Notamacropus eugenii: one gene and its partner. The protein of the gene in region 1 purifies or fractionates together with the protein of each later gene. This does not show direct contact. Links are inferred from orthologs where the notes say so. Each region holds a gene or a part of one and is shown on either strand. Other genes may lie near its edges.

What was found.
Region 2: the proteins of LCK (region 1) and SH2D2A purify together in Homo sapiens (co-immunoprecipitation; 3 studies listed by IntAct, with this or other methods). This does not show direct contact. The link is inferred for Notamacropus eugenii from reciprocal best matches to the Homo sapiens genes LCK and SH2D2A.

The regions. Positions count from the first base shown.
Region 1 is NC_092876.1:77,609,691-77,625,010, reverse strand, and holds the start of LCK (tyrosine-protein kinase Lck), read left to right. Parts: upstream 1-9,156; 5' UTR 9,157-9,311; intron 9,312-15,320. Other genes in the region: myotubularin-related protein 9-like, read right to left, coding at 843-1,063, 1,403-1,576, 1,726-1,851, 2,020-2,128, 2,848-3,029; protein FAM167B, read left to right, coding at 5,004-5,252, 6,131-6,406. UniProt on the Homo sapiens protein: Non-receptor tyrosine-protein kinase that plays an essential role in the selection and maturation of developing T-cells in the thymus and in the function of mature T-cells. Plays a key role in T-cell antigen receptor (TCR)-linked signal transduction pathways.
Region 2 is NC_092873.1:381,045,879-381,061,564, reverse strand, and holds the start of SH2D2A (SH2 domain-containing protein 2A), read left to right. Parts: upstream 1-7,574; 5' UTR 7,575-7,639; coding exon 7,640-7,673; intron 7,674-8,975; coding exon 8,976-9,112; intron 9,113-10,022; coding exon 10,023-10,207; intron 10,208-10,953; coding exon 10,954-11,043; intron 11,044-11,377; coding exon 11,378-11,546; intron 11,547-14,888; coding exon 14,889-15,044; intron 15,045-15,686. UniProt on the Homo sapiens protein: Could be a T-cell-specific adapter protein involved in the control of T-cell activation. May play a role in the CD4-p56-LCK-dependent signal transduction pathway. Could also play an important role in normal and pathological angiogenesis.

The DNA of each region.
Region 1 (15,320 bases):
TAACAGCAACAACCATTCTGGCTTGTGGTCTTCTCCATCCCCTCTCCTGAGATCATCTTCAGAGACCTCAGATCTAGCAGTGTAGCCAAACCCTCAGCCTACTCCATCCACTCTAGCAACTTGGATGTCCATCTGACTGACATGATCTTTCTTTAGATCCCAATGCCTTTCCTTTTGGAATGATACCTCGTCAAAGTCTGAGAAGTTTGAAATTCCATTCACCAATCACAAGTGCATGAGAGCCCACTCGCTTCTCCCACACTAAACCTGTTCTCTGAGTCCACTCAGGGTCTTTAGGCCCCTCCCTATTGCCCGTCTCTCCCCAGTCTGATTTCATTTTCTCCAGTGCTAGCTTTGACCTAGTGATGGCTGGTCATTTCCCTGCTGGCCTCCATCCTGGCGGAGGAACCTTTTCATCCTGCTAGATCCTATCCGCCTGGACTGTACACCTCATCAGTACCCTCTGATTGGAGGGTGGGGGGCCCCTCTTGGAAGCCCCATTTAAGAAGGGCGCCCTAGGAGAGCCATCTCTTCATTTTCCACCTGGCTGCATGCCCTTTCCCCACCGTTCAGCTTCCTCTTGTGCATTATCATCCTGGTTAGATTGTAAGCTGAGGACTGGACTGCAATTTTCGTATTGGTGCTCTCAGCTCTTAGCACCAACCTTGGCACATTGTAAGTGCTTAATAAATATTTGTTGGCTTCTGATAGTAGAACTATCACCTGGAATCCCTTGTCCCTGCATCTCAAATTCATAAAGCCCCATCATTCCCCATCTTTCTTTCCCGAGCTGTTGAAGACCTCCTAAAGTCGAACGGAGCTGGTCCGACTTGGCTATTTACCTCTCCAGGGGCCGGTGCAGCCGCTTCCAGCCGGGGTAGGCGGCCTTGGCCTCCGTGCCGCCCCCGGTTATTCGGGCCTGTTTGACCGCCTGGGCTGAGCGGGTGTCCAGTACTAAGCCCTGCCCTCCGCCCAGAGCCAGGGCCGCCTGCAGCAGCTCCTCGTCCTCCGCACAGCGTCGCCGATTGGCCCCCTGCAGGGGCTGGCTGGAGCGGAGCATTACCTTGGGGTGGCATGAGTGACTCGGTTTAGGGAGCGTGCCCTTAGGGCCCAGGAGTAAGGCTGCCCAGTCTACCCGGAGTGGAGGTCAGATAGGGCAACGGCAGGGTTGGAGTCCATCTCGGGACCTGGAGGGGCTGAAGGTGTGACTGGGAGAAGCCTAGGCTCAGCGCGGGTGGGTGAAGCAGGGATTCCACGTGGGATTGGGGGCGTGGGTCGGGTGTCTGGGCGGAGCCCGGGGAGGAACCGAGTGGGGACAAGGTTGGGCTAGTTAGGACCGGGTGATGAGCAGAGTTTGGGGCTGGGAGCAGAGCGGGGGTCCGGGAGCGATTTCCACACTCACTGTTCCCTTGTTACTGTGATAGTAGCAGAGCACAGGGAAGCGGCCACCTTGCCGGAAGCGGGCGCTTCGTGCCAGGACCTCGTCCCCTATCTCGCGGGGCACCACCAAGACTGGCGGGTAGCTGGCACACACGGAGAAGTCCTTATTCACTGTGCTCAGGCGCCAGCCGTTTGTCTGGAGGAATGGGGTGGGGGAGGAGTCTCTTACAGGCTCACATCCCCAGAAGGCTCCCTCCCACCACAGCCAAGGGTACAAGCCCTTTCCCACAGCTTCCCTGAGTTCCTCCTGCAGCTGCCCTCAAACCCTCCATCACTGGCACCTACCTCCAGGGCCACCTGCTGATAGAAGTGGTCCGGGGGGTGCAGGTATTCAGCGTCTCCCAGTCTCAGGCTCTGGGGCCTGTAGAAGAATGGATAGGAAGTGGTGACAGATTCCAGCGAGGATAAGGCCTTGAGGAGAAAGGCAAAAAGCACTTCTGGGGATCCCAGGCTCGACATGCAAAACCTGTTTTTGCCCTTGCTGACGTTCTCATTCTTGCCATTCTCAGCCCTCCTCCCTCCACTTGGGCAGTGCCCGGGATGGATTTGCTGCCCGAATTCCTGCAAGCGCTACCTCACCTCGATGGAGCCGGCGATGTCCAGAGTCTGTTCCAAGCCTTCGATCTCCAGCTGCAGAACGTTCAGGTCCTTACATTTCAGGGTGATGGTGCCCGAGTTTCCTGCCACCCTGCGGAGGGGGGGGGGGCAGGAGTCAGTGGGCTAAATGAACACTTATGAACGGCTTAGTATAGGACTCTGGGGTCAATGGAGGATCACGAGGTGGGGGAGCTAGTATGGGAGCAAGAGTGTCAAGACACGGAGGGCAGTATTGAACACTGGACAAGTAGGACAAGCGGAATCAGTAAGGGAGGGGTACGCAGGAGTCAGTGGGGAAAGAGATCTTAGAGGTCTTTTGAGGAAGGAGACACTGCAGGGTTCATTGAAGGGACACAGGAATCGGTGGGTTAGTGAGGGGAGAAGGGGAAAAGGAGACATGAGAGATCAGTGGAAGAGAGGAAAGACGCATAAGAGTATGGCCAAGAGTTCAGCTCTCCTTGGATGGAGAACTGAGACCTGGCGAGCCATGTGTGCCTTCCCAGCCAACATTGAACACGTCGGCTCTCTGGCTGGCTAGCGGCTGGTCGGGCCCACGTAAGTCCCAGCTAAGCAGTTCGCGATCTTCCGGGGATACGCCTCAGTGAGGCTAGCCTCTCCTCCCTCAGGAGGCGCGCGCGCACACACACACAGACACACAGACACACACAGACACACACACACATACACACACAGACACACAGACACACACGCGCGTCCCCTCCACTCCGCACCCCCCTCTCTTGATCCTGGTAGCCCTCTCCTCTCCCCTGCGCCCAGCTAGGAAGCTGCACGGTCTCGAATCCCTCTCACCGCTTTTCCACAGCATCCACGTTGCGCAGCAGCAGCCACAGGTCGCTAGGGCTTCCGTGCCCGGCAGACAGCAGCAGGTGGTGGCTGGTGATACACAGGGTGCCCCGCACCGGCGTCTGCCCAGGACTGGACAGAAGGAGCGCCTCCGCCCGACCAGTACGGATCAGCTCCGAGAACTCCATCCTGGAAGCCCAGGGCTCGGGGGTTCTGTGGGTGCAGGGGGTCGCAAAAGAGAAGGGCGGAGCCCCAAGGCTTTATAGCCCCAGGGCACAGGCAGTCCTCTCCACCCAGTGGGAGGACCGGGGCGGGAACCAGAGGATCCGGACGGATGGGGGGGGAACAGGAACTGTCCCCAGAACGGATGAAATTTGCAAGATGAGGCTGGTTAAGGTGGCCCCATGAGAGAAGGATTCAAGATTTTTTGAGATCTAGGGGGCTTGAGGTGCTCAGGTTCGCCACTGTCCTCTTGGTGGAGGGCGAGGACAATTCGAGCTTGGAGCCTCATTGGGAATTCAGATGTTCTCGAACCCAATGCACCCATCCTATCCACTCTCAAACAGAGATCTCACCTCGGCCTTGCTCTGTGAAATAATCTGCCAGGGAACTGTAATTCATTCTCCTCCATTCCCTAGTTACATCAGTCCTCTGGCCTTGTAATCAGAAGCCTGGGTCAGAAGTCCTGCCACTAATTTTTAAATTAATGCATTTTTGGTATTTCTTGTGCTTACATCACAATCATTTCCAGATACATGCCTCTCCCTCCACCCTCAGTGTACCTTCCCTTATAACGAAGAAATGCAGTTAAGCCAAAATCATATTCTTTACCGTGACAAACAGTGTTTATTTTGCCCATCTTTCCAAGGAAAGGGAGGAGAGGGAGAAATGTATTTCCCCTTTCCTTCACATAACCCTTTCTAAGGGGTCTTTTCCTTTACATTCAGAGTCAGTGTATATGATCTTTCTCCAGCTTTACTTAACTTCCCTTTGTATCCGTTCATACATGCCTTCTCATGTTTCTTTTATTTCCTATTCCTTGTTTCTTACAGGGAGATGATGTTCTGTTACATTCATATACCACAATTTGTTCAATCATCCCCCAATCAGTGGGCACATCCAGTTTGTTTGTTTTATCACTAGCTGGTCCTAGGTTCTCAGGCAAGTCCCCTCCTCTCTCTGCTCCTCAAGCTGGTCTCTAAGGTCCTTCCCAAGACTTAAATTTAGTCCTCTCTGTTGGGTGCCCTCAAGGCCACCTTAAATGACTACTGTATCCATCAGCTTCTCTGGTGGTCATCGGTTCAGGAGCGCCCCCTGGAGGCAGTTGGCTCTTCACTTGAGGGTCCTGGTCCTTGGTGCTTAGGGTACCACAGGGGAGCCCATTTCGATACCTCTCCAAGAGCTTGCCAAGGTTCAATGCCTATCTCCTCCCAGAATTACATCTTAGATACCTACTCTGAGTATTCCAACCCAGCTAGCATCTCCCACTGCCTCCCTCCATGATGGACCCCATACATTTATTTCCTCCCTCCCAGCTTGGACCCCATAGCCTTCACAGCCTTCTGTCCTTCTCTAGACTAGGAACTCACATTCTACCTCCATCAAATCTGGGCTACTATCTCTGTGACCCCCAGCCAGGTATCCCACACTCTCTACTCCCTCATTGGGATCCAACATTCTGCCACCCTCCAGGCTGGGACTCCTCATTCTGCCCCCTGATTTAGCTTGGGACTCCACACTCTGCCCTAGCATCAAGTTGAGTTTTAGAGATGTCTCCCTCAGTGGCACCCGCTCAATTTGGTTGGGAGAGGTGGGAAGAGAAGTAGATAGATGCCAAAGGGCAAAGCCAATGTCCCCAGTGGCTCCCTGGCCCTGTAGAAGTTTCCTTTCAGAGAGAAGGGTGTCTCCTTTTGGGCAGAGACAATTAAATTTGACCCTGAGGCCAGAGAAACTGAGATCCTGCTTCCCCTCCCCCAACGCCCCATCCCTTTCCTCTGGGGGTCACGTGAGTTCCCATTATTACAGGATTCCAGGGAAATAAGCCACACACTCAACCTTACACACTTACCTCCTACTTTGGGATACTTAACCATCTGTCCCCCTCAAAAGAGGGACAGACAAACACATCACACCTCTCTGGTCCCACCAGAACAGCCATCACCATGTCTCTGGGGTCCCTGGCATTTGGGGCCCTGGGTGAGGAGGAGGAGACCCTGGACAACTTGAAGGCACTCACTGCCAAATTAAATCTACAGACCAGAAGGCCCTCATACCTCGAGTGGACAGCCAGGGTCCAAAGCCAAGCCTGGCACCGAGATCAGGCCAGGGCTGAACTGCGGGAACCAGAATCTGGAGCCATTTGTGGTTTTCACACTCTGGATGACGCCTTGCAGTGGCTAAGAGAGGAGCTGGTAAGTCTACGGTGTGGGATAGAGAAGAGTAGTTCACTGTCAGGGAGCCCCCATCTAAGGGAGAGACACACAAAGGGAAGCCCCAGCTGAGGAGGAGAATGTAACCTTGCCCTTACAATTTCAGGATTTGGGGGCAGACGCCCTTTTGGGACAGGTAGCATGGGGCAATGTATGTGAAAAATATTGTCTTCTGAGCTAGAGACCTCATTCAAATCTCTTCCCCTGACTGTGGAACCTTGGGCAAATCATTTCACCACCCTGGGCCTCAGTTTCCTTACCTGTCAAGTGAGGGACTGGATGATCTCTAAGTATCTCTTCCCTCTCTTGGTCTATGATCCAAAGTTCCCTATGGACTTAGGGGAGGCTGAAGTCTGGGGTGCAGTGGAGGTAAGGAGAGAGAAGGCCTTGTCCTCAGTCATGCAATATTCAATAAAAGAGTGGGGCTCCCCTTCCCCTAGGCTGATTCCTTGTACATAGTAGATGCTTGATAAATCTTTGTTGACAGACAGAGATGAGTCCCTGAGTCTATTCAAGAGGCTGGGAAATAGCTCTGTTAGTTGGAAGACTTGGGTCCCAGTCCCAACCACTCCCCTCCCCTGACGGTGGAGAGGAAGTACTTTATAAATCCTCCAAGGCCATAGGATAGGAGTTATTATTATCTTTCCTGGAAGAGGAGGAAGAGGAGAGGAGAGGGTAGTGCTGGGCTTGAGAGGAAGGAGGAGCCAGGAAGGGCTGAGCTGGACTGAGAGGATCAGGGTCATAGAATGTTGGCGTTTCAAGTTGCCTAGGCACAGGATAGAGACACCTCTGCCCACAGCCCAAAATAAAGGGCAGGAAGCCAGGGCCCTGAATCCCCAGCCTCAATCATTTCCCCCCAGAGGCAGATGCGAGCCCAGGACCGGGAGCTGGCAGGGCAGCTGTTGCGCCTCAGGTCCCGAATGCACCAGCTAAAGGTGGAACAGATCTGCAGGCAGCACCAGGAGCTGTTGGATGATGCTGAACTGGAGGCAGAAGCTGAGTGTCTAGGCTTTGGAGAGGCAGCGGAGCTCCTGAGCCCAGGCTCTCTCCGGCCCACTCGCCTCCTGGCGCCCCCACTCAGGGACATCGGCCTCACCCGGATGAACATCAGTGCTCGTCGGTTCACCCTCTGCTGAGCAGGCAGGCCCTGCTGCACACAGCTGAGCATCCTTTGCTCTCCCACAGGGGTGTCCCACCCTAAACCTTGGTGCTCTGCTACCCCTGATCTGAGGGATGCAGTCACCCAGGGCACAGAGGGACCATAACTCACTGCCTATAGAGAGGGAGAGAGCTGTTCAGCCTTCCCAGAGTCAGCTCTCCAGCTACCTAGATCAGGAGTGGGGAACCTGCCTCTAGGTCCTTAGGTGTGGCCCTTTAACTGAATCCAAACTTCACAGGACAAATCCCCTTAATAAAAAGATTTGTTTGGTAAAACTTGGACTCAGTCAAAGGGCCGCACCTAAGGACCTAGAGGGCCACATGTAACCTCAAGTCCTCAGGTTCCCCATCCCTGACCTAGATAAAGGAGTGCTCTCAGGGCTTGTAGTAGGAACACTCACACTTTCTCAGGCTTTCCAGCAAACAGACTCCCTGGTGTGATCTAGTGCTCCATGTCACTGCAGGAAAGATCGAGGACACCAGGTGTGCATGTTTTTGAGGGAGGAAAACATGTCTCTGACCCAGAAGTCCTCAACTCTTCTCTTTCATTTAGCTCTGTGTCTGTTCTTTCTCCTGTCATCTGGTTTTTGGCTTTTTTTCCTGTGTGTGTGTGGCTGTCTGTTTCTTGGTCTCTGTTTCTCAGTGTATTTCCATCTCTGTCTCTCTTTCTGTCTCTGTCTCTGTCTCTCTCCTCCCTCCCCCTCTCTCTCCCTCTTCTCTCCTTCTCTCCTCTCTCTTTTTTGTCTCCTCTTCCTCCTCTCTCTCCTTTCTGTCACTCTCTCTTCTATCTCTTAAACCTCTTCTTTCCCCCCTCTTTCTCTTTTCTCTCTCTTCTCTTTCTCCTCTTTCTTCCCTTCCCTTCTCTCTCTCCCTCCTTTCCTCTCTCCCTCCCTCCCTCCTTCTCTCTCTCTCCCTCCCTCCCTCCCTCTCTCTCTCTCTTTCCCCCTCTCTCTCCCTCCCTCCCTCTCTCTCTCTCCCTCTCTCTCCCTCCCTCTCTTTCTCCCTCTCCCTCTCCCTCTCCCTCTCCCTCTCTCTTTCCCTCTCTCCCTCTCTCCCTCCCTCCCTCCCTCCCTCTCTCTCTCTTTCTCTCTCTCTCTCTCTCTCTCTCTCTCTCTGTCCCTCTGTAACTTTTGTTTCTGCTGTTCACATCTCTTTGTCTTACTTTCTGTCTTTGGCTTCCTTTCCCTCCCCCATTTCCTGCCCTCCTCACCCGCCTCAGTTGAGGTGAGCAGAACCAGCATCAATTTCCACCTTTCAAACCCCAACAATACGTCTGCGGCATCCTCTTCTGCTGTCCCCATCCCCCTCCCCTTTCCTCACAGCTTGGCTCAAGGTGAAGGGGTGGGAGCTGTTTGTGTCGCAGGAATGGGTCACTCTAGTTTGGTTCAACCATGGCAGGGTTCACTGGGTCTAGCTGGGGCACAGTCATCAGACTGTCCATCTCTGCCCCTTAAGGAGCTGGTGTATGAGTTTGGATACCCATCTTCTGTTGGCAGTGAACCTAGATGGACATCTTTCCCACAGCATTGCTAGGGTCCACTTGGTGTCACCAAAATAAAATGTTGAAAGGTCCTTAGGGACCATCTAGTCTGAAGGAAGTAGGGTGAGACAGTGGAAAATATGTGGATTTTGGAATCAGAGGACCTGGGTTCAAATCCTCGCTCTGCCACTGACTACTTGGACAATCTGAGACAATTCCTCTGGCTCTGTTAGATTGTAAATTCCCTGGAGGCGGTGCTGTCTTTTGTTTCTTTTTATATCCGCAAGGTTTAGCATACTATCTGGCACGTGGTAGGTGCTTAATAAATCTTTATTGACTGACTTGTTGACCGTTTCCTCATCTTTTTAAAACAAATGGTTTGAATTAGATGACCCATGTCATCTTTCGTCTCTAAATTTCTGATTTCTATTTCCTTTATCTTGCAAAAATGGAAAAGGAAACTCTGAGACAAGATCACACATCAAGCCAATGGCAAATTGGTCTATGTGGAGGAGGGGGTGGGGATGGAGGGGGAGATTACTCCCCTTTGTGAGTCCTCCCTCACCCCCCACCTCTTCAGCCCATGGGCTCCCATGGCGTCTTCTTCACAGAACCCCAGACTTTTCATTCTGAAAAGATCCTTAGGAATCATCTTAGCCTGTGGTCACCAGACTACCATGGGATGGATACATGACCACATTTCCCAGGGGGAGGGAAGAAGGGGTACATGAACTTGGATGGGAAAGAACCATCTTTATTTTTTACTACCCTCTAAGTGGAATTTATCATTTCCTTCAATGATGATTAAAAATGCAAATTCTGAGAATTTCCATAGGTTTTATCAGTCTTCCAAAGAGGTCCATGACACAAAAAATGCTAAGAAGCCCTGATCTAATCCAATCAGCTTATTTTATAGAAGACAGCCCCAGAGAGGGGACAAGACTTACCCAAAGTCACACAGCTAACAAGTAATAGAGATAGGGAGGTATTCTGGGTCCTCTGACTCCGAATCCAGGGCAATTTCTACTTCACCATCAAATGCTCTCTATGGTGTGTCCCCCTCTTTCCCCACCCACGGATACTAGGAATTCCCTGGGACCCTCTGTGACCACAGCTCCCTACTATCAGGCCCCTGGATGTTGGGAGGGGTGTGGTTGGCACTGTTGTTCTTGGCTTGTGGTTGAGGGAGGGCCTGACTGGGGTTCTGGGGTTGGCTGCCGCCTTCTTTCTCACTCATTCTCTCAAGAGGAGGCAGGAAGTTGGGGTTGGACGTGGGCTGGGTGCTGAGAAGGCAAATTGAGGCAGCGACAAGGAGCTGGGAGCCTCATCCATCCTCTGGGTGGTGATGGGGCCTCTGAACAAGAAGGACCATGTGAACCAGGCTCAGTGAACATATCAGGCAGGTAAGGAAAGAGTGCACGGGGCTTACGGGAGCTTCCAAAGGGAAAGGTCAGCAGCCCCTAAGGTGAGGGCAAGAAAGACCAGAGAAGGTCTTAAGAGAATTTCAGACTTCTGTCTATCTGGTCATTGAGGAAAGCTAGTTTAATAAGACCTGTGACATTAATTGATGGGCACCCTGACAAGCTCTGTGGGTGTCACAGTATCACTTTGCCATGGGGCACACGGGCATTGGCCCTATGGACAGGCCCCACAGTGACTCTACCCTAATCCCACAGATTCCCAACTTGTCTCTGAGGACCCCCCTGACCTTGATACCACCCCATGGGCACTCCAACAATAGTCACACAGTCACTGTGATGCAACCCTTGGACATCCTGATGCCAGCTCCATACATAGATGCCCTGGGGGCAAAGGTTACCTCCTCAAAGAATGGTTTGGGGAAGTCCCTGAATATTGACTGGGTAGCAGGGGAGATGGATTTGGAGACAGAGGAGCTGGGTTCAAACCAAACAGGGACGTTGTCACAAGAGTGACCAGGAGCCAACTGCTGGAGGGAAGAGAACCAGAAAGGTTCTTATTGTATCTAGTGTCTTGGGAGGGGAGTAGATAATAAGGTGGAACCTAAAATGACCCCTTGTCTGGATCGGGTGAGACTAGATGCGAAGAGTCCTTTGGGAATTCCCCAAGTGCCTTATTAATGAATATTTGTAGGCTCCTAGAACTTGGTGACCGTCTAGTCTAGTTCAGACTGATTCTCATTTGGTAGAATCTAAGACCCAGAAAAGAGCAAGGAGTTGCCACATGGCTAATTAGTGGCAAAGATGAGGTTACAACCCAGGCCTCCTCATTTTGTCCAATGCACTTCTCCCAATGTGGTAAAGGGAGAGAGGATTTAGATAAGTTGGATTCAAGTTTTGCCTCTGACATTCATTTCCTTGTCTCTTAACTCTTCTGGGCTCCAGTTTCCTTAGTTGTAAAATGAGGGATTTGTGTCAGAAGGCCCCTAAGCTCTCTTAGTTCTCGATTCATCATCCCGGAGGCAAGAGGAAACCAGAGCTTTATTTTCTTGGGTCATTTGGATGAATGGAGGAAAATTCCATCAGGAAGCTTAAGGACTTGATGGGGTCAGAATTCTGTAGGAAAGAGAACCAGGCACTCCAGTGACTTTTGCTGCCAGAGTTCTCTGTGAGAGGGAAAGGTTTATCCGAGCTTCCTGGATGCTCATGTCAAGGAAGATTTCTGACGTGGGATTGAGATTCTTCATGAAAAGACGGCCCCAAAGGGCCAGGCAAAGGAAGGGAGGAAAGGAAGGAAGAAAAGCTATTTTAAATTGGTGTGGGGAAAGGATGAGGGGCATGATTGGCAGTGGGAGCTTGACCCTGGAGTTCCTATGGAAAGTTTCCTTCTCCACTGGATGCTGGCTAAGGAAGTCTTGGGACCAAACCTCCTAGGGCCTCAGAGATTTAAAGTTATCTGATCTCATCTGGGCCTTACAAGCTGTGTGCAATCCTTTTGATTTTCTATCACCTTCTCTTAGTGGCCTTTCGAAACCTTCCTCCTTCCTCAACCTTTTTACCCCACCAAGGACAGTCTTAGCAGAAGCCACAGCCTGCTACCTTACTGAGAGTTTCATCATCTCTCTCCCCTGGGTGAGGCCTAACTTCAGAGAGGCTTGCTGTCTAGACCAGTTGAACATTGGCCCCACACCCATGATCATCATCTGTCTCCTAAGTCAAACCAAGAGAGAACTCTGGACAGGTCAGGAGACGTGGGTTCAAGTCTGTGGTATAGAGGAAAGAGTATGAATCTGGAGTCAGAGGACCTGAGTTCAAATTCCCAATGTGCCACTAACTGCCTCGGATGAATCACTCCTCATCTCTGGAGCTCAGTTTCCTTTTTTGTAAAATGAGGGAGGTTAGACCCAATGACCTCAGGGTTCTTTCCAGTACTAAAAACTAATCTGTGATCTGTGTTCCTAAGCCTCACCTCTGTGACTACTCTGATCATCTTTGAACAATTCCCCCACCCTTTCCTAAGGCTGTTGTGATGGAAAAAAACCAAACACCTTCCAAGTCTTGAAGAAGCAAGATGAAACTTCAGGGGATAGAGGGCAACAATTTGGGGTGCAGGGGGAAGCCCCCTCTCTTACCCATTCTTCTGAAGTGCCACCTGCCTTGGGGCGCTCCCTGCCTACTCTCCACCCCCACTGGAGTTTTCTTCAAAACACAATTTCCACAGAGATATAATATAACTTGGGGACCTGGAAACCTGGGTCTGAGTTCTGCTTCAGACCTTTAGTAGTCATCCAAACATCGCTCCTCTGGGAGCCAGGCTGAATTTCTTCACTGATAAAATGGAGATGAGAGTGCTGGCATAAGAAAGCAGTCACAGAGATGATGCCTCATAAACCACAGAAATATGGAAGGGACAGTAGTTTAATGGTGCCATTACTATCGCCAATAGTATTCCTCTCCCAAGTTGGGGATAGGGGCAAAAATGACCTTGTACGGAATTTTTTGAAGTAATGTATCTGTTCATGTGTGTTTGACATGGGCCTCTCTGGGGATCCATGATGGGGAGAGCAGCAGACTTGGAGGAACAGGGCCTGGCACCCAATCCAAGCTCAGCTGTCTTTAGTTTCTGGGAATCTTTAGGCAAAACCCTCCCCTTTTTAAGGGCTCATTTTCCTTATCTGTAAAATAAGGAAGTTGGACAAGGGCACCGTTAATTTCCCTCCTCACTCTAAGTCTAGTAGTTGATGGTCCTGTAATATTCTATGTTCTAAGATTTCTTCTGTCTCTGAGACAGTGGATTCTAAAGCCCCTCTCAGCCATCAGTAAGTCAGTCAACAAACATTTACTAAGTACCTACCATGTGCCAGGCACTGTGCTAAGTGCTGGGGCTACAAAGGAAAGCAGAGGGTCAGCCAAGTGATCAGAGTGCTGGCCCTGGAGTCAGAAGGACCTGATTTCACATCTGGCCTCAGACACTTACTAGTAGCATGACCCTGAGCAAGTCACTTAACCCTGATTGCCTTTCAAAACAACAACAAACAAAGAAAGAACAAAGAAAGGAAAAACAAAATTCCTGCTTTCAGAGAGTCATAGTTTATTCTGGGAGACAAGATGCAAATAACTCTGTACGAACAGGCTACATATAGGATACAGAGGAGATAATTAGCAGAGAGAAAGCCCTGGCATTAAGAAGGATTAGGAAAAGCTTCCTGCAGAAGGTAGGATGTCATCTACTACTTGAAGGAAGCCAGGAGGTGGAGATGAGGAGACAGCCAGAGAAATGCCTGGAGTCTGGGTGTACTAAGGACTTTCCAGATTTTGCTTTCTCTGTTCTAGGTTCTGACATTCTATGTACTATGAATCCTATCAGATGGGGCAGGGGGCAAGGTGAGTCTTTAGTGATAGGGGTAGGGATTGGGGAGAAGAGCCTTCCAACTGTCATCCTCAGTGTATTGAAGAGACTAAGTTGGGGGGCAGTGGAACTTGGTTCTGTTGGGACCTCAGGCAAGACAGGGCAGGACAGGGCAGGACAGGGTCACAGACTTTCCTCCCTACCTGACTGAAGTCCACCATCCCAGCTACATTCCTTAGGGTTGGTGGTACCTTCCTTGGGCCTGAGTCCCCTGGAAAGGTGGGAGAACCAGGTCTCTGGGTGTTAGAGCAGCATGAAACACGGCTCTCAGAGAAGGTAGATGGAACAGGAGTAGGACCCTGATGCAGAGGGAAGACTCTGCCCCCCATCTCCACCCCCACTAAGAGCAGGGCTTCTCTTCTCCCTCCCCCTTCACATGTGCTGCTACTAGAGGCCTTGCTTTGCACCTGAAGCTGCTTCCTGTGTATATTCTCTGAGAACACTCAACATCAGACTGGGAACCCTCCAAGATGAAAGCAGCTGAAGGCAAAGGGTTCGAAGTGCCAGCAGCTCTCACCTAAGGGCATTCTTTTTACAAAGGAGCACACACCTCAGAGTCACACACTCTCCTTCCCAAGCACAGGCACATGGACTTACAAATATGTAATTGCTATATGCGTAACACGTAATTACCCATGTGTAACAACCATGCACAATCCAGATACCTCTAGTTACACATACTCATACATCTATATGTAGTCATAGACTCCATGTATGGTTCTCACACACATACAAACACAGACATGTAGCATTGTGTGCTACACAATGTGCACACATGTGCTACACAATGTAGCACACATGTGCTACATCATACATGCAAACTACTACAGAGACACATAGAATTGGAACCACATTACATAGACTCAAGGAATTTCTATTCTGACATCGGTTGAACTAGACAGTCCTGGGGTCTTTCCCAACTTGAAGATTCTAAGAAAATAAACACATTACACATTCATCCCCACTAACAGAGTTCTACCCATATGTAGGTAGACACAGACTTAACATGTTTGCGCATACACAGATGCACATAAAGATATGCATGAAGTCAAATATGCCGTGTGACATTATACATAGAAATACGCTCTCATCTGCATCACCACTCCCCTCCTCCCCCGCATGCACAAAGATGTCACCCAACTACTCATACAAATGTCCCTATACATGCCCACAGCCACATGTGTACATGCATCATGAATCATATGGCAATAACAGCGAGGTCTAACGCTCCAACAAAACTTTAAAACCTTTCACCTTGTTGTTCATCCTTCTCACTCAGACTGTGAGCTCCTCCTGTCTTTTGCCTTCTTCTGTATCCTCAGTGCTTAGTACAGTTCCTGGCATGTAGTAGGCGCTTAATAAATGTTGATTGAGGAATGGATTGACTTTGATCCTCACTACATCCTGTGAGGCACTTAGTACAAATATTTTCACCATCTCACAGATAAGGAAATTCAGGCTCAAAGGTGAGTCACTTAAGATCCCAAAGCAAGTCAGCTGCAGATCTGGGACTGAGGGCTGTGTCTACCTCTCTCCTAAGCACATATATACACTATCTCCATTGTACAATTATGCAGCAACATGGGTATGCTCACATACAGCATAACACATCACACGGAGGCAAGTCAGCTTTGGGCATGAGTGATTTCCTATGTTCCACCAAGGTCATGGTTCCAGAACGGCCCTTAACTTTTAGTCAGTTGCTGAGATGTTTCCCCAGATAGCTCTGTCCCACCACCATGCAAGGATCCACCTTGTGATCAGAGCTTGAACCTAGTTTCCTCCACTCACTCAGGTCCTTAGTAGCAGGTCAGGTCAGAAGCATTAGAAACCTCAGGGTGCTTAAAAGAATTTTTATGAAATTCCAGCAATTTACATGAAATCTGAGTGGCTGTCAAGGACATAAACTATAGGTGTTCAGTTTAGTTTTTTAAAAAATTCAGCTTGTCATGACTGAACATAAATATGGGGCTTTTCAGGTGCAAAGGGGCAGATAGGTAGCACAGTTGTAAGGATAAAAAGCTGAGCCTGAAGTTAGGAAGACCTGAGTTCAAATTTGGCCTTGGATATTTAATTGCTCTGTGACCCTGGGTAAATCACCCTGTTTGCCTCAATTTCCTCATCTGTAAAATAAGCTGGAGAAGGAAATGACAACCCACTCCAGTATCTTTGTCCAGAATTGACCCAAATGGGTTCACGAACTGAATAACAAACTTTAGGTATAAATGTTCCCCATTGTTCCAGGCTCTATCTTTTATACCTAGTCTTAGGGTGGAGCCCTAGATATTTGCTCCCTGGATTTTGCTCCCATATCCTAGGATTCCCATGTTCTTAGACAACCTCAACCCAGATCCAGGACTTAAAGCTTTTTGGTTCCTCTTTAATCTTGCAGCAGCCTGAACTCCTCCAACTCAATCCAACCCTTTCTCCAGATCTTTGCAAAGGCCAGACTCCAGCCCCTCCTGTTGTTGGCTCAGTCTCCCTTTCCTTCCCCTGGCATTTTAGTGGGTTGCAGATACAAGCTCAGGTTTTATTAGATGGCTTAAGTAGAGTAGTGTATAGAGTACTGGACCTGGAGCCAGGAA
Region 2 (15,686 bases), on another chromosome or scaffold:
TTGCCAATGTGCATCACTGGAGAGAATTTCTAAGTAAATAACTGGAATAAATAAAATCATTAACTTTTTTTTAAAAGCGCACGCACACACACACAGAGTAATATTCAGGACTCTTTCCAAATGAGCATAGCTCTCTGCCCCAAAGCTTTGTGGGGGATGTAGTCCAGAAATCTATGCTCCCCAGGGGCCCCTTATAAATGATTTTATATTCAATTTTGCTGAGTCTTGGAGGTCAGCTAGTCCAACCCATGCCTGCAAGAATGCCCCCTCAGCATCCTAGACAAGTGATCTTCCAGTCTTTTCTTGAAGAGGAAAATAAAGCTAGCAGTAAAATATTCTTGCAGTGTATGAATTCTCATGGAATGATACAATCTCATTTTAGGGAACACATTTTGGGAAATGAAGATCCCAGAGGACAGTGTATTCAAGGCTGCCTTTGCATCCCCATGTGCTCATGTATAGGTCTGCATGCAGAGAGGAATAATACATAAGACAGCATAACGTAAGATCTCTTTGTACTTATCTCCCTCTTCATCCTCCCAAGAAGTGACAGCAAGACATATATGGCCAATGTGGGCATTTGTTTTGCTTAACTATGAATATTTTAGGGTGGGAAATTATTTTTATTTTTTTCAACTAACATGCATTTAAAATTAACTCTCTATTCCACTGTTCCTTTCCACCCATTGAGGACATTTTAAAATACATAATAAAGTTCTCAGTATGTAGTTGCATAGTCTGGCAAAACATATTCCCACATTAGAAATGTCCAAAAATGTGTGCTTCATCATCAGCTCCCCATATTACCACATCAGTGATGAGTGGCATATTTCATCCTCCTTCTTTTGAACTCATGACTTATTGCATTGGGTCAGAGTTTTAGAGTCTTTCAAAGCTGTTTTTCTCTAGAATGTTGTTACAATTCTATAAGTTGTTCTAGTTCATTCTTCACTCTGAATCATTTCATAGAGGTTTGCCCAAGTTCCTCTGAAATTATCGGTTTCATTATTTTTTTATGGCACAATAATATTCCATTATGTCCATATACTACAATTTGTTTAGTCATTCCTCAATAAGAGAACACTCCCTTAGTTTCCACTTTCTGGCTACCACTAAAAGATAAATATAGACAAATAGACAGACAGACAGACAGACAGACAGATAGATAGATCCTTTTCCTCTTTCTTTGCTTTTTTTGGATTACAGACCCACTAGTGATATTACACCTATTCATATCTAATACTAGGGCTTGGTTTTTTTTTCCTTTGGGCAGGGAGGATGGTGGTGAGGATGAGGGGAAGGGGGAAAAGTAGATTTTTGTTCATTGAAAAAATTAGATTTAATTTTTTTTATTTCACCCTCCTAATTCTTTGTGGTTGAAGTAGGAGTTTCCCTTGTCCCTAATGTTATTGACTACTAACTTCAACACATGAAGGAAGAAAGAGAATATATAGGGAAGAAAAGAGAGGAGGAGGGGTGGAGGAAGAGCAGAGAGGGGGACAAGATTCTCTTTCTAGTCAGGTCTCTATCATAAGCTTACTTTCAAAGGTCTCAATGGGGAATTTGTGTGTTCGTCCTTCATTGCCGAAGAAGACTATGCCATCAGAGATATGAAGACATGACTTGCACTTAACTTTGTTTTGAGTGAGGGAGGGCTGTGCAGGTCACCAGCCTCACTTCTCTGAATCCAGTGACCAGATATTCATCAGGATGACTGGAGATGACTGAGGATAAGACAATTGAGGTTAAGCGACTTGCCCAAGGTCACACAGCTAGTGAGTATCAAGTGTCTGAGGTGAGATTTGAACTCAGGTCCTCCTGACTCCTGCACTGGTGCTCTATCTACTGCACCACCTAGCTATCCATGGGGAATTTAGTCACAGAAGGAAAAGGTAAATGGAAATTATAGTCTTTCAGGATTGGAAAGGTCCCTAGAGACCAACCACCCCATTTGGGTTAAATTACTTAGTCAAAATCACAATGCTAGCAACTGGGGGTGCCATGACTTAAACTCACATCCCTTGATCCCCACCTCATCGTCATACAGATTCAGAGGGTTCCTGTGTTGTTTAGGGTCTGAGAGACTGCAAAAGTTGTTTCCACAGTGAGTTGTTAATTGAAGTCATTGAGAACGTTAGATAATAAGAAGGCCAGCAAACTGCAGGTGGACTCAACCAATCAAAAGACAGACAGTGGACTTCAGAAAATTACAAAGTTTTTGATAAAGGAAACAAATCTACAGCTAGCTGGCACTAGTCAAGAAAAATTATCTAGAGTTACCTGGAGAAGGCTTTTCTTCACTGTGCTTGCTTAATGAACTTCATGCATATAAGCAGACACACCCTGCATAAAACTGTCCTTCCATTTTCTGATCATGGGTCCTATGTTACAGCATGTTTGGCAGGGGGAATCATACTAAGGGGAATTACATAATGGGCATGTAGAGAAGATGGTGACCTAATGGAGGATGGACCAATCCATCTCCTGGTGGGAGGCTCTGTTTTGGAGTAACAGTATATAGCTCTTCTGGCTTCTGTATCCAGTACTCCCTCCACCTGAAAAGAGGGTAGGGGCACGCTTTGGCCAAAGTTCAATTCCTCTGAATTCTGCTGCAATAAATTTTCCTTGATTCCTTATTGAAATCAAGCATGTTTCTAACAAGAGTTAGCCTAGAGAATGGTAGGAAGAGATGTCTCTTTCAGGAAAGGGCTTCAGGTCCTTTGAGGAAAAGGGGAACTTTCAAGCCTCCTCTCTGAATGTCTCACCTTCTCACTATGAAAACTACAAAGTGAGGGAGGAAAATCAAAATGATATGCAAGATTTGGGATGAGGAAGGAGAATGTCACTAAGGGAAGGACAATAGGAGAAAAAGATCTTTGTCTCTTCATCTATAAAGGGACTAGATGAGCTCTTAAGTTTCTTTCTCGCTCTAAAAACCTATGAGTAAGGCTTCTTCACGATGCAGTGAGTTTCAAGCAAAAGGCTGAACTTTAAAGCACTTGAAAAGGCATGTAGTAGAGGTAGTCAGGTGGTATGCCAGAAATGCTTAATTTAATGACTTCTATTTGTGTTTTTTTAATGAGGGGTAAACAGCAGACTCTTGGTTTACTCTGACTAGCAAAACTATAGCCAGAATCATCTGATGACCCAGAAGCTTCCAGTCTCTCTAATTTACAAAATTGCTTCCAAGGCTGGAAGCAGCCATCTCAAGGTTGCTACTCAGTTACCTGTACTCAGGAAAGAAACAAAACTGAAGATGAAGGATCAGACTCACCTAGTCATGATAAGTGCCCTCTGCCATGTGTTTGCAAGAAACCATGGATGGGAGGAGGGTGGCTTCTCCCTTGCCACTCCAGGGAGAGATTCCTTTCTGACAATCAGCAGAAGGAAGGGAGAGAGTGGAGTTACTCCCTTCAAGATCTATTGAGGAGGCCAATCTTAGTGGCTTACTGGCTGGTGCTCTGACACAATTCAGATAATCTTCCATGCTTTCATATGCATGGGATCAAGGGACCACCCAGGATTTTCTGTGTCATTCCAAAGTGATAAGCACTTCAGTTCTGAGCCACATATTTCCCTGCTGAAGTGGCCACAGTACAGGTGCAGTACTCCATAAAGTGTACGTTAGCCAGAGCAAATCAAAGTGCCCAGTTGCTTACCCTCAATTACACTTGCTTCTCTCTTTTCACTGAATAGGAATGCCCATTACTGATGGTTCATGTATCAAATCTTGATTGAAGTACCAGAGAATATACTTGAATGGAAGTTTAAATACCTGCTGATACAAAGCCTCAAACAGGGAAACAGCAGGAAAGGGATGTCCCCGAGTCATGTGGTAGCCTGCTCATAAACATTGTCTCCAGCCCAGCCAGACAGCTCTGCTCAGGTTATTCAAGTTTCCCTCTCCTACCCCATTCCCCTAGCTCTAGTTCTTAACAAAGACCTTGGAGCCTTGCCTTAGATCCACCTCTGATAGGTCTCTCTCTACCTGATGATCTCATGTATTCCATTGTATCTTCAAGCTTTTCATTTCCAGTTTGTGACTTCAGATCCTGGGGTCCTATGAACCCCTGACTGTTCCCTCTGAATGCCATTTTCTTCCAGAAATTTCCATCCATTTCATCCCCTCTGGTTCCTTCTCCCATCCCTCCCACAAGCAAAGCTATTTGGTTTCTACTCCTCCTTTGTGGAGGCAATCAAATTGTGCAGTGAATAGTGCTGGACTTGAAGTAAGACCCAAGTTCAAATTTGACTTCAAACACCTGCTGTGTGACCCTGGACAAGTCTCTTAACTTCTACCAGTCAGCCTTAATTTCCTCATCTCTAAAATGGGGAATAATAATAAAAACCACTTCACAGGGCTATTGAGAAGATCAAATGAGATAACATATGTAAACATTTGCAAACCTTAAAACACCATATAAATGCTAGCCATTATAATTATGGAGGTGAGGGATGGCAGCAGGGTAGGGAACATGGTCCCTCTTCTACCTGATGCTCAAGCTTCTTTCTCTTATGTCTCACTCCCCACCCAACCTCCAAGTGGAAAAAGAAGGAGCCTACTCTGAGGATCTCACGTTTATTTTACATTGTAGGATTTAGAAAGCACTCTCCTCGTGTAACTCATGCCAGAATGCCCCATGGAATGGTCCTTTATTTGTCTTGGACTATCATTTGTTTCAGGGCTGTAGTAATGAAGGTTTGGGGACACATAAAGGAGAAGAGTGCAACATTTCTGGTGATTACCACATTTTCTTTATTCCTCCTTTCATAGGAGACTGCTAGCTTGTTCTTCCCAGGAGCCAGAAAATTTATGATCATGACAAGCAGAAGGTCATGCAAGAGGACAGGGAAGTGATAAAACCAATATGTTGCAAACTGAATGCCCTCTCTTCCTTCCCTTTCCCTATCCTAGCCCTGTTTGTCCTGAAGATTTGGGGAAGAGGAGTTTCCTTCTTGCCATTCTTGGGAAATGGAGGTATGTGACTGCTGCCAGGCTGGCTGGCACCAATTGACTTTGGGGAATCCAGACTGTTGGACCAGGGCAGGTGCTGAGGCTGTAGCCCAAAAGAGACTTCCATTCTACTTGTTCTTCTTGAGTGCCAGAGGGAAAAAGCCTGACTAGCTGCTGAGAATCCAACAGAGAGTGGAGATGCAAGCTTCCAGATGAGAATGAGGAAGAGGACCTTCTAGATTCTAAATTCCAGAGTGCCAGGGAAAGCCAGCTATTACAGAGCATGGAAGAGTGACCAGCAAGGATCAGGGAGATTAAACTTCCTAGATTGTACCACCTTTGACTTTCTATTTAAACACACAGCTCCTTCCCCTCGAAAGCATGGAAGGACCATTGGGAAAAGGTTTCAGTTTGGGAGGTGGTTGGGCAAAGCTTTCCATGAGAGAGGAATTCTGGACAGTTTCTATGCAGTCTTACTTAATGTTTAACAAACCACGTGGCTGCATTAAGTTGTCTTGCTTAAGCTGTAAGAGTGCAGTGGCTAGTCAACCAAGAACAGAATATTTCCCAGATACATGGTGAGGGTGCAGCAAGATATATACATTTCCATATTTTAACAATCTTGAGCCATATTTCATTAATATTATGCCCAGGTTACTTTGAATTGTGACCATTTAGGAATTTCTTCTTGTCCAGTTATTTGAAATAGTACGGATAACTGGGGGTAGTGCATACGCAGACTTTGGGCTCTTTAAAGACACAGACTCTTTAGTATAGCGCCACCTGCTGATTGGAAATTGTAAGGTATACTCCATTAGTAAACGATAGTGACCCATACCCAGCCTTTCTGTAGACATTTCGTTGTCGTTTTTTGTCCTTCGTTCTTGAGGAGTCTTAATTTGTGTGTGAATTAGATTTAAGTGAGGCAGACCTGCACAAAGTCATCGGCCTCATTCTCTCCTCGAGTCATCAAAGTCCAGTGGCAAGACAAAAGTCATGACAGGATGCAGTGGGTGACCACATGCAGTGTACCACAGCTGTGGACCTCCCACCAATGTAAAGGAACGGAGTGGGGCTGTCTTCTCATATCTCTTCTTTGGGGCTATAGTCATTAATGCTGTAATTCCCCAACATTTACTTTTGTTTTATGTATTTGTTCTTTATTGGGTCTATAGTTTCCTTGAATTTACTCTTTATTTGATCATGTAAATCTTTCCATCATTTCTGTATTCATTATATTCATTGTTATAGAACAGTAATATTCCATTACATTCGTGTGTCACTATTTGTTTAGGCATTCACTTTGTTTCCAGTTCTTTATCATTTCTATAGTCTTTCTGGTCTCCCAATTGTTTGTTTCTCCTTCAATTTTAAATATCTCCTCTTTTATGCTTATCTTAGTTTTGCTTATTATTTGTTGGCTTTCTAATTTTTAGAAAATACCCATTTAGTTCCTTAATCCTCTCCTTTTCTATTTTTTAATGTATGTTTCTATAGCAAGAGAGACACTCTATTAGTAAATGGTAAAGTGATAGACACTCTTTCTTTCTGTAAGCCTGATAAAGGCAGGACATGAGTCAGGTATGAATTCCCACTACTGCTGCAGTCCCTCAAGTCTCACTTGAGACCCCTCCCAAGGACATAGACCATGTCATTGTCACATAGTAGTCCTCCAGAGCAGGAGCATAGTTATTATTGACTTAGAAATGGAAGGTAACTTTCTGAATGCGCATATAGTCCACACTTCTCTTTTTACAAATGAAAAACTTCAAGCCAGAGAGCTAAGTGACTTACTCATATGGATGTCATGTAGCATAGCCAAGTTTTCTTACTTAAAATGATGTTCTTCCTACAACACCAGACCTCATTTATTATGAGGAAACAGGCTCAGAAGTCAAGGGGAAAGCTCCAGTTGACACACCTAGTAAATTTAGGGGGGTTGAACCCAGGTTTTCTGACTTCTGGTCCAAGGAGGTAAGAGTTTAGAGGAGAATTAGATCAGAACAGACTTTACCATCTTGATCCAACATCTGGCTTCCAGTACCTGGAGTCAGTATTCCAGTATTCCAGTCCCCCAGGGCCCCATGCATTCACCCCTGGTTTCGCCACTGTCTAAAGCCTATCCTACACCTTCCTGCTACACCATTGCCTCTCCTCCTTTTCCACATATCCTTAATGGGTCTGGAATGATCCTGAGTGTTGACCCCCAAAGATCCCTTCCAAGGATTTGAAAGCACTTTACAGACCTGATCTCATCGATCTTAGTCATATCCTGTCCTGAGTGAACAATAGGATTGAGAAGACAATAGGGGAACAAACCTTCGATGAGGTGGTAAGAGTAAAGAAGAAAAGAGAGCCTTCCACATTGTGAGGGATGGTGGTCTGACAATAGGGAGGATTTCTCAAGAACTAAAAGAGAAACATTCCCTGCCCCACCCCTCTCCTCCCACGCTTCTACCCCTCACCAACACACACACACACACACACACACACACACACACACACACACTTCCGGGGAGGAACATTGCTTTCCATGACGTGGGTCCCAGGGCCTGGGCTGTGGGTGAGGTACCATTTCCTGCCCCTGGGAGGGGGGTAGGGGAAGCAGAGGAGCTGAGAAGCACACACAGCCATACACCTGTTCTGGGTGGGGGGGAGGGGGCTCAGTCTCACAAAACCCCTTTCATGGAGATGCCCATAGATCAGATGCCTCCTCAAGGTAAGTGCCAGGTTTTTCCCTGCCTATCACCCTTCCTCTTTCCTCTTCATCCTCTGACTTCATCTACAACAGCCCGGTGACCTCTCTGGATGGCGGGTTAAAGGGTCCCCTTTCTCTGAACAGGAATCAGAAAGGAAATTGTGTGGGCTGGGTGGCAGAATATGTTCCCTTAGGAGTCCTCTTTCTCTCTTTCTGGTCTTCCATTGTTCTTTCCATTTCTATTCTTCAACAGAGGAATAATTAGATTTCTAAAGTCCTTTGAAATCTTTAGAGTAGAGAAGAGAGATTTGGTAGGAAACATAAAGACTCCTGGGAAATCAGGATTTAGAGTTGGAAAGAATGTTAGGGGTCAATTAGTATAAACCTTAAAATGAGGACTATATATTGGGAAGCCAAGGATATGCTAGTAGATATTTAATAATCAACTTTCGGGGGGAGACGCGCATAGGGTGGGGGAAAGAAATGTAGGAAAGATACACTTTTAAGTTTAATCTGCCTTATTGTCATCTTTTTCCATTACTTAAGCCTAGATAATCAACAAAGCATCAAACCCTAATTTGTAGCACTTGCAGATTTCCTGTGTGTAAATGCTCGAACTTAAAATTTAACAATCAGTGTTTGGAGAGCCCTTGTGAGCTGGTTCCAGCAGACCCTGGAAGTCACTTCCCTGTGGTCACACAGATTAAGTACGGAGCTGGGTTATAAATCATAAGCAGGGAATTGGACAAAAGGTTGAGGATAGAGGACAGAGACAAAGTGTTCTGAAATTGTCAGACATGTAAGAATGATCCATAAGAAGTGGATTAGAACTCAGGTGTCCTGCTTCTCAGAGAGTTGAATCCCAGAACCCTCAAGTTGACAGAATCCATTACAGAAAAGTCATGATGCTTTTCCCACTGTATTTCACCAAACCAGACTAAAAGGATACCTGTATTCCAGCTTATCCCTGCCTTTTCTCCTCAAACTCTCCTAATCATTCAGAACTCTTCCTTGCTGCTTAATCATCCCTCTTCAAACATCAACTCCCTCTCATACTATACCTTCTGTACCTTATCCCTCATTTTCTCATTCCCCTGGGAAGTACTTCCTGCTAGCATCATTTCTTCCCCTGCTCCCCATCAATATCCTCCATCATTCTTTTTGCAATATCAGTCTATTTCTGTTCTCAAAGAAATGCTGTGGCCTCTCTCCATCCCTGGGTGATTTGAGGAGAGGGGCTAGAGGCAATAGGAAAGTAAAATAGGATTACTGTTACATCCTATCCCCTTGGAAGAGAGCCCACAGCTCTGTTTGTACATGTAGGGGAATGGAAAGAACCTGCCCCAACTTTCAGTACTTTCCACCCAAAACATCCAACCCGGAAGAGCAGAAGAAGCATGGTACTGCCTACACTGCCTCAGGCATCGGAAGATGAGAGTGTCCCACCCAATCACACCAAGGTGAGTGGAGAGAGAAAAACTAGGAACCTCTGAGTCTGCATCCTTCACCTCACACACACACATACACCCAACCCTGTGGATACCAGGCCTATAAAGGAGCTTTATTTAATGAGACTTCCTAGAGGAAATGGATTTAAGAGGGTGAAAAGGAAAGCAGGAAAAGTGGGCACCTGAACTGATACTAAGAGAGCCAAAGAAGCAAGTCAGTTAGCCCCTTTCATCATCACTGTCCCTCTGTAACTCTTAATTATAGTTTCACAGGATTCAGAGTTGGAAAGGACCTTAGAGATCATCTGGTGTGATGTCTTCAGCTTACTGAGGCAGAGACTGAGTTCAGAGAGATTTTCATTGACCCAAGATCATGAAGGTAGTGAAAGAGACAAGATCCAGACCCAGGTCTTCCTGCTGTAATTCTGTGGTCTTTCTTCAACACCATACCATCTGGACTGAGCTTCCTACCCAGCTCCCATAATCCTTCCCTAGTCCAGTCTGATCCGCCATGATTTTTATGATGCTTCCAGAGATGATTCTCTTTCCTGCCATCTAACCTCAATCCCTTCCACTATATTAGTAGAACCTTTCTTTCTCTGACCTTTGGGGAAATGGAAACCCGTAGCATCCCCTTACTTGTCATCTCCTTTATTCCCTTGGTATATGGGTTAACCCAACTCTAAAAAGTCTTCTCGTTCTCTAACCTCCACCCTCGCCAAGACTGCAGAGCCATGTAGCTCAGAGGAAGATGGAAGGTGAAGCTGATCAGTTTCTAGGAAAGCTATATCAGAAGTGATTTCAATTTAGAAAGTGGTTAGCAGGGGAAAGTGTAACATAGGACCAGAATGTGCTCTACAGATGGGATACAAGCCCCTCTGGCTGTAGCATTTGCTCACAATCCAAATTTTCTTCCATCCAGGTTTCTCTCCAAGGCCAGGGGACTATCCCTATTCCAGGCAACACAAGGAAAGCTGAGGAAGTACCTGGGCTAGGGGGACCATCCCTTCAGGCTGAGACCAGGGCCTGGTTTCAGAAGACCCAGGCACCCTGGTTCTTTCATGATGGGGAAGCCCCAGTCTGGTTCCATGGTTTTATCACTCGTCGGTGAGGAGGATCAGATGGATAAAATTCAGTCTAGATCTCAGTTTCCCTTTTCTCAGCCATCCCCCTGTCCTCAAGATTTCACACTGTGTAACCATTTTCTCTCTGGGTCTCCATCCCTTTGCCAATGTACCTGTGTCATCCTCTATGTCCATTTCTTTAGTTTATTTCTGTATCTTTCCTTGTCTTTAATTCTCTGTTATATCTTTGTCACTCTTTTCTACATCTTATCTGTATTTCCCTCTTTCTCTTTTTCTACTTTTTTCTCTCTGAGTACATCCCTCCAATGTGACAGACCTAATTTGCTTTTTAGCCAAACCACCCTCTAAAATCCCAGCCCTCAATCCCCTTCCTGTCTCTCTTAGCTGTTTCGAGGAAGAAAAGTTCAGTTCTTTCTTCCCTAGTATGTCCTCCTCCCCATACACTAGCCCAAATAATTACCCCTTTACCTTGGGAAGGACCCACCATCCTGACCCCTCCAGGAACTTAGCAAGCGAGTCATTTATTCATTTTTTCCACTCATTCAACTAACGCCCCCTTTCTTCCTACTCCCCGGGGTTTCCTGCCATTTCAGCATCTTGCTAAGGAGGGGAACTGCATCCTGCCTCCTACCTCCTGCACCACCAATTGGAGGATGGTGTAGAGAGGAGAAGGAGACCATAAATCTAGTGGGACCACCACCGTGGGGGTAGGTGGGGGGGTCCAGGCATTCGAGAACCCGACCGTGTTTCCTTCCTTCAAACTCTCAGGGAGGCCGAGAGATTGCTGGAAAACAAACCCCCAGGCTGCTACTTGGTGCGGTTTAGCGAGAGCGCAGTGGCCTTTGTGCTGACTTACAGGTGAGGCTCAGGGTTTTGTTTTGGGTTTTTTGCAGATGAGCGAAGAGATCTAGGTTTCGTGTGAATGGGTGGGTTCATGCAGATTGTCCAGTGAGGGTGGGGCTTCATGCTGATTGACAGATGAATGAGTTGCTCTGGGGACAAGGGGAAAACAATTTCCTTGAGGCAGTAAGTCTGGAAAAAGGCGAAATGATGAAGGAAGAAGGAGAAAGGAGGAGAACAGAGAGAGGGCAGAGTGAAGCGGGAGGCCGGCAGGGAGCTGGGCTGGGCTGAAGGCTGAAGTGGTGGGGTGGCGGGACCTGACCCCATGTCTCTGCCCGGCTCTCTCCCGCAGGAGCCGCAGCTGCTACCGCCATTTCCTGCTGGCCCAACTGGAAGATGGGCGCCATGTGGTTCTAGGCGAGGACAGTGCCCACGAGCGGCTCCCAGACCTGCTGCGACACTATACTCAGCGTCCGCTCAGCCCCTACGGCGAGCACCTCACACAGCCCTGTATCCGCCAGGTACCTTCCCAACCCAGGCCAGACTGGGGATCGGCACCCGGCACCCGGCACCTGGGCTTTCTTAAGCAGAAAGGTTCACCTTTGGGGTGCCTCACTAGACTTTGAGACCCAACACACAGGCAGCAGATGATATAGAAGATGGAAACCCGAGCCCGGAGTTAGGAAAACCTGAGTTCTAATGTGACCTCAGCACTTGTTAGCTGCGTGACCCTGGGCAAGTCACTCAGGTAAAATGGGAATAAGAAGAGCCCCTTTCTTTCCAGGATGTTGTGAGGATCAAAAGATATCATTTGTAAAAAGCATTTAGCCTCATTCCTGGAACATGGTAGGGGCTATATAAATGCTTAGTTCTTCCTAATAATAAGAGAAGATCTTATTGTAGATCTTTATATCTACATGTAGATTTTTATGGTTTGCAAAGCACTTTACATATATCGAGTTTCATCTTCATAAAAACTTCAGGAGGTAGACACCATTTTTATCTTCATTATGGGAGCAGCTAGGTGGTGCAGTGGATAGAGCACCAGTGCAGAAGTCAGGACGACCTGAGTTCAAATTTCACCTCAGACACTTGACACTCATGTGACCTTGGGCAAGTCACTTAACCCCAATCTCCAGTCAATCCTGATGAATATCCGGTCACTGGATTCAGATGGCTCTGGAGGAGAAGTGAGGCTGGTGACCTGCACAGCCTTCCCTCACTCAAAACAAAGTCAAGTGCAAGTCACGTCATCATTTCTCTGATGGCATGGTCTTCTTTGACAAGGAAGAATGAACATATGTCTTCATTATGAGATGAGGAATCTGAAGAAGGTTAAGTAGCGTGGCAGATATCCCACAGCTAGTGAGTATTTGAGGCTGAATTTGAACTTGGCCTTTCCTAGCTCTAAGTCTACCCTCTTTACCAGTTAGCTGTTTTTAGAATATTTGAGCTGGTAGGGACTTCAAGAACAGCTCAGGCCACACCAGTCCTCTGCTCAACAGCTGTATTGTCTGGGTTATTAAACTGCTCAAATTTCAGGAAAGCATGGAGAGGCACAATCTATTATAGCACAGTTGAGGGGATTTGGAATTGGTTGGATGACCCAACAAAGGAGACATTACTGGGGTTACAGGAGGCAATTTGACGACCCAGTGGGTTGTGCTGGCTTGGAGTTAAGAGATTTGGGCAGGAAATGATGGGACAAGACTGCAGTCTTCAAGTATCTGAAGAGCTGTCTTAACAAAGAGTGAGGAGGCTTGTTCTGCTTGGTCCCAGAGCGCAGAGCCTGGAATAATGGGTGGAAATTGCTGAGGCAGATTTAAATTTGATGCAAGGAAAACTTCCTAACCATTAGAGGTGTTCAAAAATGGAATGGGCTGCCTCAGGACATCATCAATTTTCCATCACTGAATATCTTCTTCTAGAAGCTGGATGACCACTTGTCAGGGAGGCTGTAGAAGAGACCCTGGGTGACCTCTGAAGTCCCTCCCAAGCCTGGAGAGATTTCATGACTCTTTTATCCAGTCCCCTCATTTAATGGACCAAGAAACTGAGGCCCAGAGAGAGATGATGGGGCTCATTCAAGATCACACAACAAGTTTAGTGGGCACAGCTCGGACTAGAGCCACAGTCTGAATCCAGTGCTGTTACTGCATAGTTGTCTGTACTCTGGGAGCAGACTGTAATAATAATTGATAATAACAATGCCTAGCATTTATATAGTACTATAAGATTTGCAAAGCTCTTTACAGGTATTCTTTCATTTTTTATCCTCACAGCAGCCCTGGGAGGTGCTATTATTATCTACATTTTTATAGATGAGGAGACTGAGGCAGAGAGGCAAAGTGACTTACCTAGGGTTACACATCTAGGTCACTGAATTTCACATGGTCTGAGGTAGAGACACTGGAGAGCAGAGTTGAGGTCCTGGGGGAACAGAACTGGAGATATTTCTTCTAGTTTGGGCTAAGGAGTTTCGGATTCATTCTGACCAAAAGTGAAGGTGAAAGAATAGAGGCCATTGTTTTGGATAGTTCTCCCTGGTTACTGGGGCTGAGTCTCCTTGTTAGGATATCAAAACCAGATAGCAATAAAAATTTATTTTAAAAGAGAGCGAAATTGAAGAGGGAAAAAGAGGGAAGGATGAAGAAAGATCCAGAGAGAGAGACTGGAGAGACAGAAAGATGAGACTAGAGAGACACACGGAGAGAAAGAGACAGAGAGAGCAAAAAGATGAAAGAGAGCCAGAGAGGAGAAAGAGAGACTGCAGAGAGTATTGAGAAGCAAGGAGCTGAAGCTGCTTGAATCACTAGAAAGGAATTGTGAGAGAAGACTTGCTTATCATCCTCACAAACATGAAAGGACTCATGGAAAAAGATTCTAGATAGTTCTTTGGCTTTTCAGAGGACGGAGCAATAGGAGTGAGCTGCTGTACACAGGGAAACGTCTTGCTGTCAGTCATTTAAAAAAAAACAGAATTAGGTGGCCATGAGAAGATGTTGGAGTGTCTATATCTGGAGAGCTTCCAAAGGAGAGTAAATATTCATCTGCTCTGGGTGGTGGAGTGGGAGGCTGCGGAGGCTTTGTTCTAGTAAGGATCACCACTCCACTGGGGGGAAGAATCAATCAAAGATGATACAAGTTAAAAGCAATTTGACTTCGGGTGTTTTTTAAGAGGAAAATAAGATGTTTCATTTGTCTTTCTTTTCAGCTAAGGGAAAGGAACATAGAATTTATTCTGTTCTACAAATATGATAACTATTAAAGATATACTTTAGTTCTATATTGTGGCCAGCTAAAGGAGAATGAAGGGGAGAGGGGGAAGAAAAGAGGAGGATCAAAGGGTAGAGTAGAGGGAGCTGGAGAGTAAGATATACCTGGAGACATCCATATGTCCTTGCTGGTGCCCCTGAATTCTAGCACCTTCCTTCTGAGATTAGGTCCAGTTTATCCTGTATATATTTTTGTTTGTATATAGTTATTTGCATGTTGTTTCCCCGTTAGATTGTGAGGTCCTTGAGAGCAGACACTAATTTTGACTGGCATATAGCAGGTACTTAATAAATGCTTGTTGTCTTGACATTCCTTGACAGAAGCTAGAAGCATATAGGGACAAACACTGAAAATGAGACTGAAGGAAACAGGGAAACATACACACATACACACACTGTATTCTTCAGCCCTGGTATTCAGCCAAAGGCCTTCCCTGAGGACCTAAGAAGTCAAGGGAGTCTACTCTGATGAGTTATTGCCTTCCTCCTTCCTCCCCATCTATCCAGCTGTCCCAGATTCTCTCCTCTCCTGATCTGCTCGATGGTGATTGGGCCCTTCTGTCGCTGAACTCTCTCCTTTTTCCACAGACCCCTGCTCCAGCTGGTATCTCCATGCAGATAGAACACTCAGAATCCAGGAGTGAGGGCAGAAGTGGAGCTTCCCAGTACTGTGCAGTCCACAAACAGGAACAAACCCTGAGTCCTGTGAACAAGGACAGTCTTGGACCTAGGGAGCCAGAGGAGGTATTAAAAGTGGATGGGGCTATCAGATGAATCTGTTCCTGCCTCCCCCTCCCACCCTTACCAACAACCTAGGGGAAGGGGGAGGTAACAGAGGTAGCAGGAGGGAGGAGCACTTAAAACCAGATTGGGATGCGGTGGATATGTTGAGATGGAAATTAGGGAGGCAAATGTAGGGGAAAGGAAGAGGGACCAGAGCAAGGAGCCAAGGAGCTTAGAGGAATAAGGGACTTAGAGTGGGGATGGAACCTTAGGGGGAGATCTCAGAAAGAAAAAGGGCCCAGAAGGAGAAACTCAGGAGTAGAGCCAGGAGAACATTGTACACAGTAACAGCCATAGTGTGCAATGACTGATATTTTAGCCCTTCTCAGCAATGCAGGGACCTAAAAGAGCTCCAAAAGACTCATGATTAAAAAATGCCATTCACATCCAGAGAAAGAACTATGAAGTCTGAATGCAGAGCGAAGTGGACTATTTTCTTTTTTTGTTTTGTTTTTTTCTTTCTCATGGTTCTTCCCATTCATTCTAATTCTTTAATACAACATGACTAATGTGAAAACATGTTTAATAGAATGGATATGTAAAGCCTATATCAGATTACATGCCATCCTGGGGAAGGGAGGGAGAAAATTTAAAACTTATGGA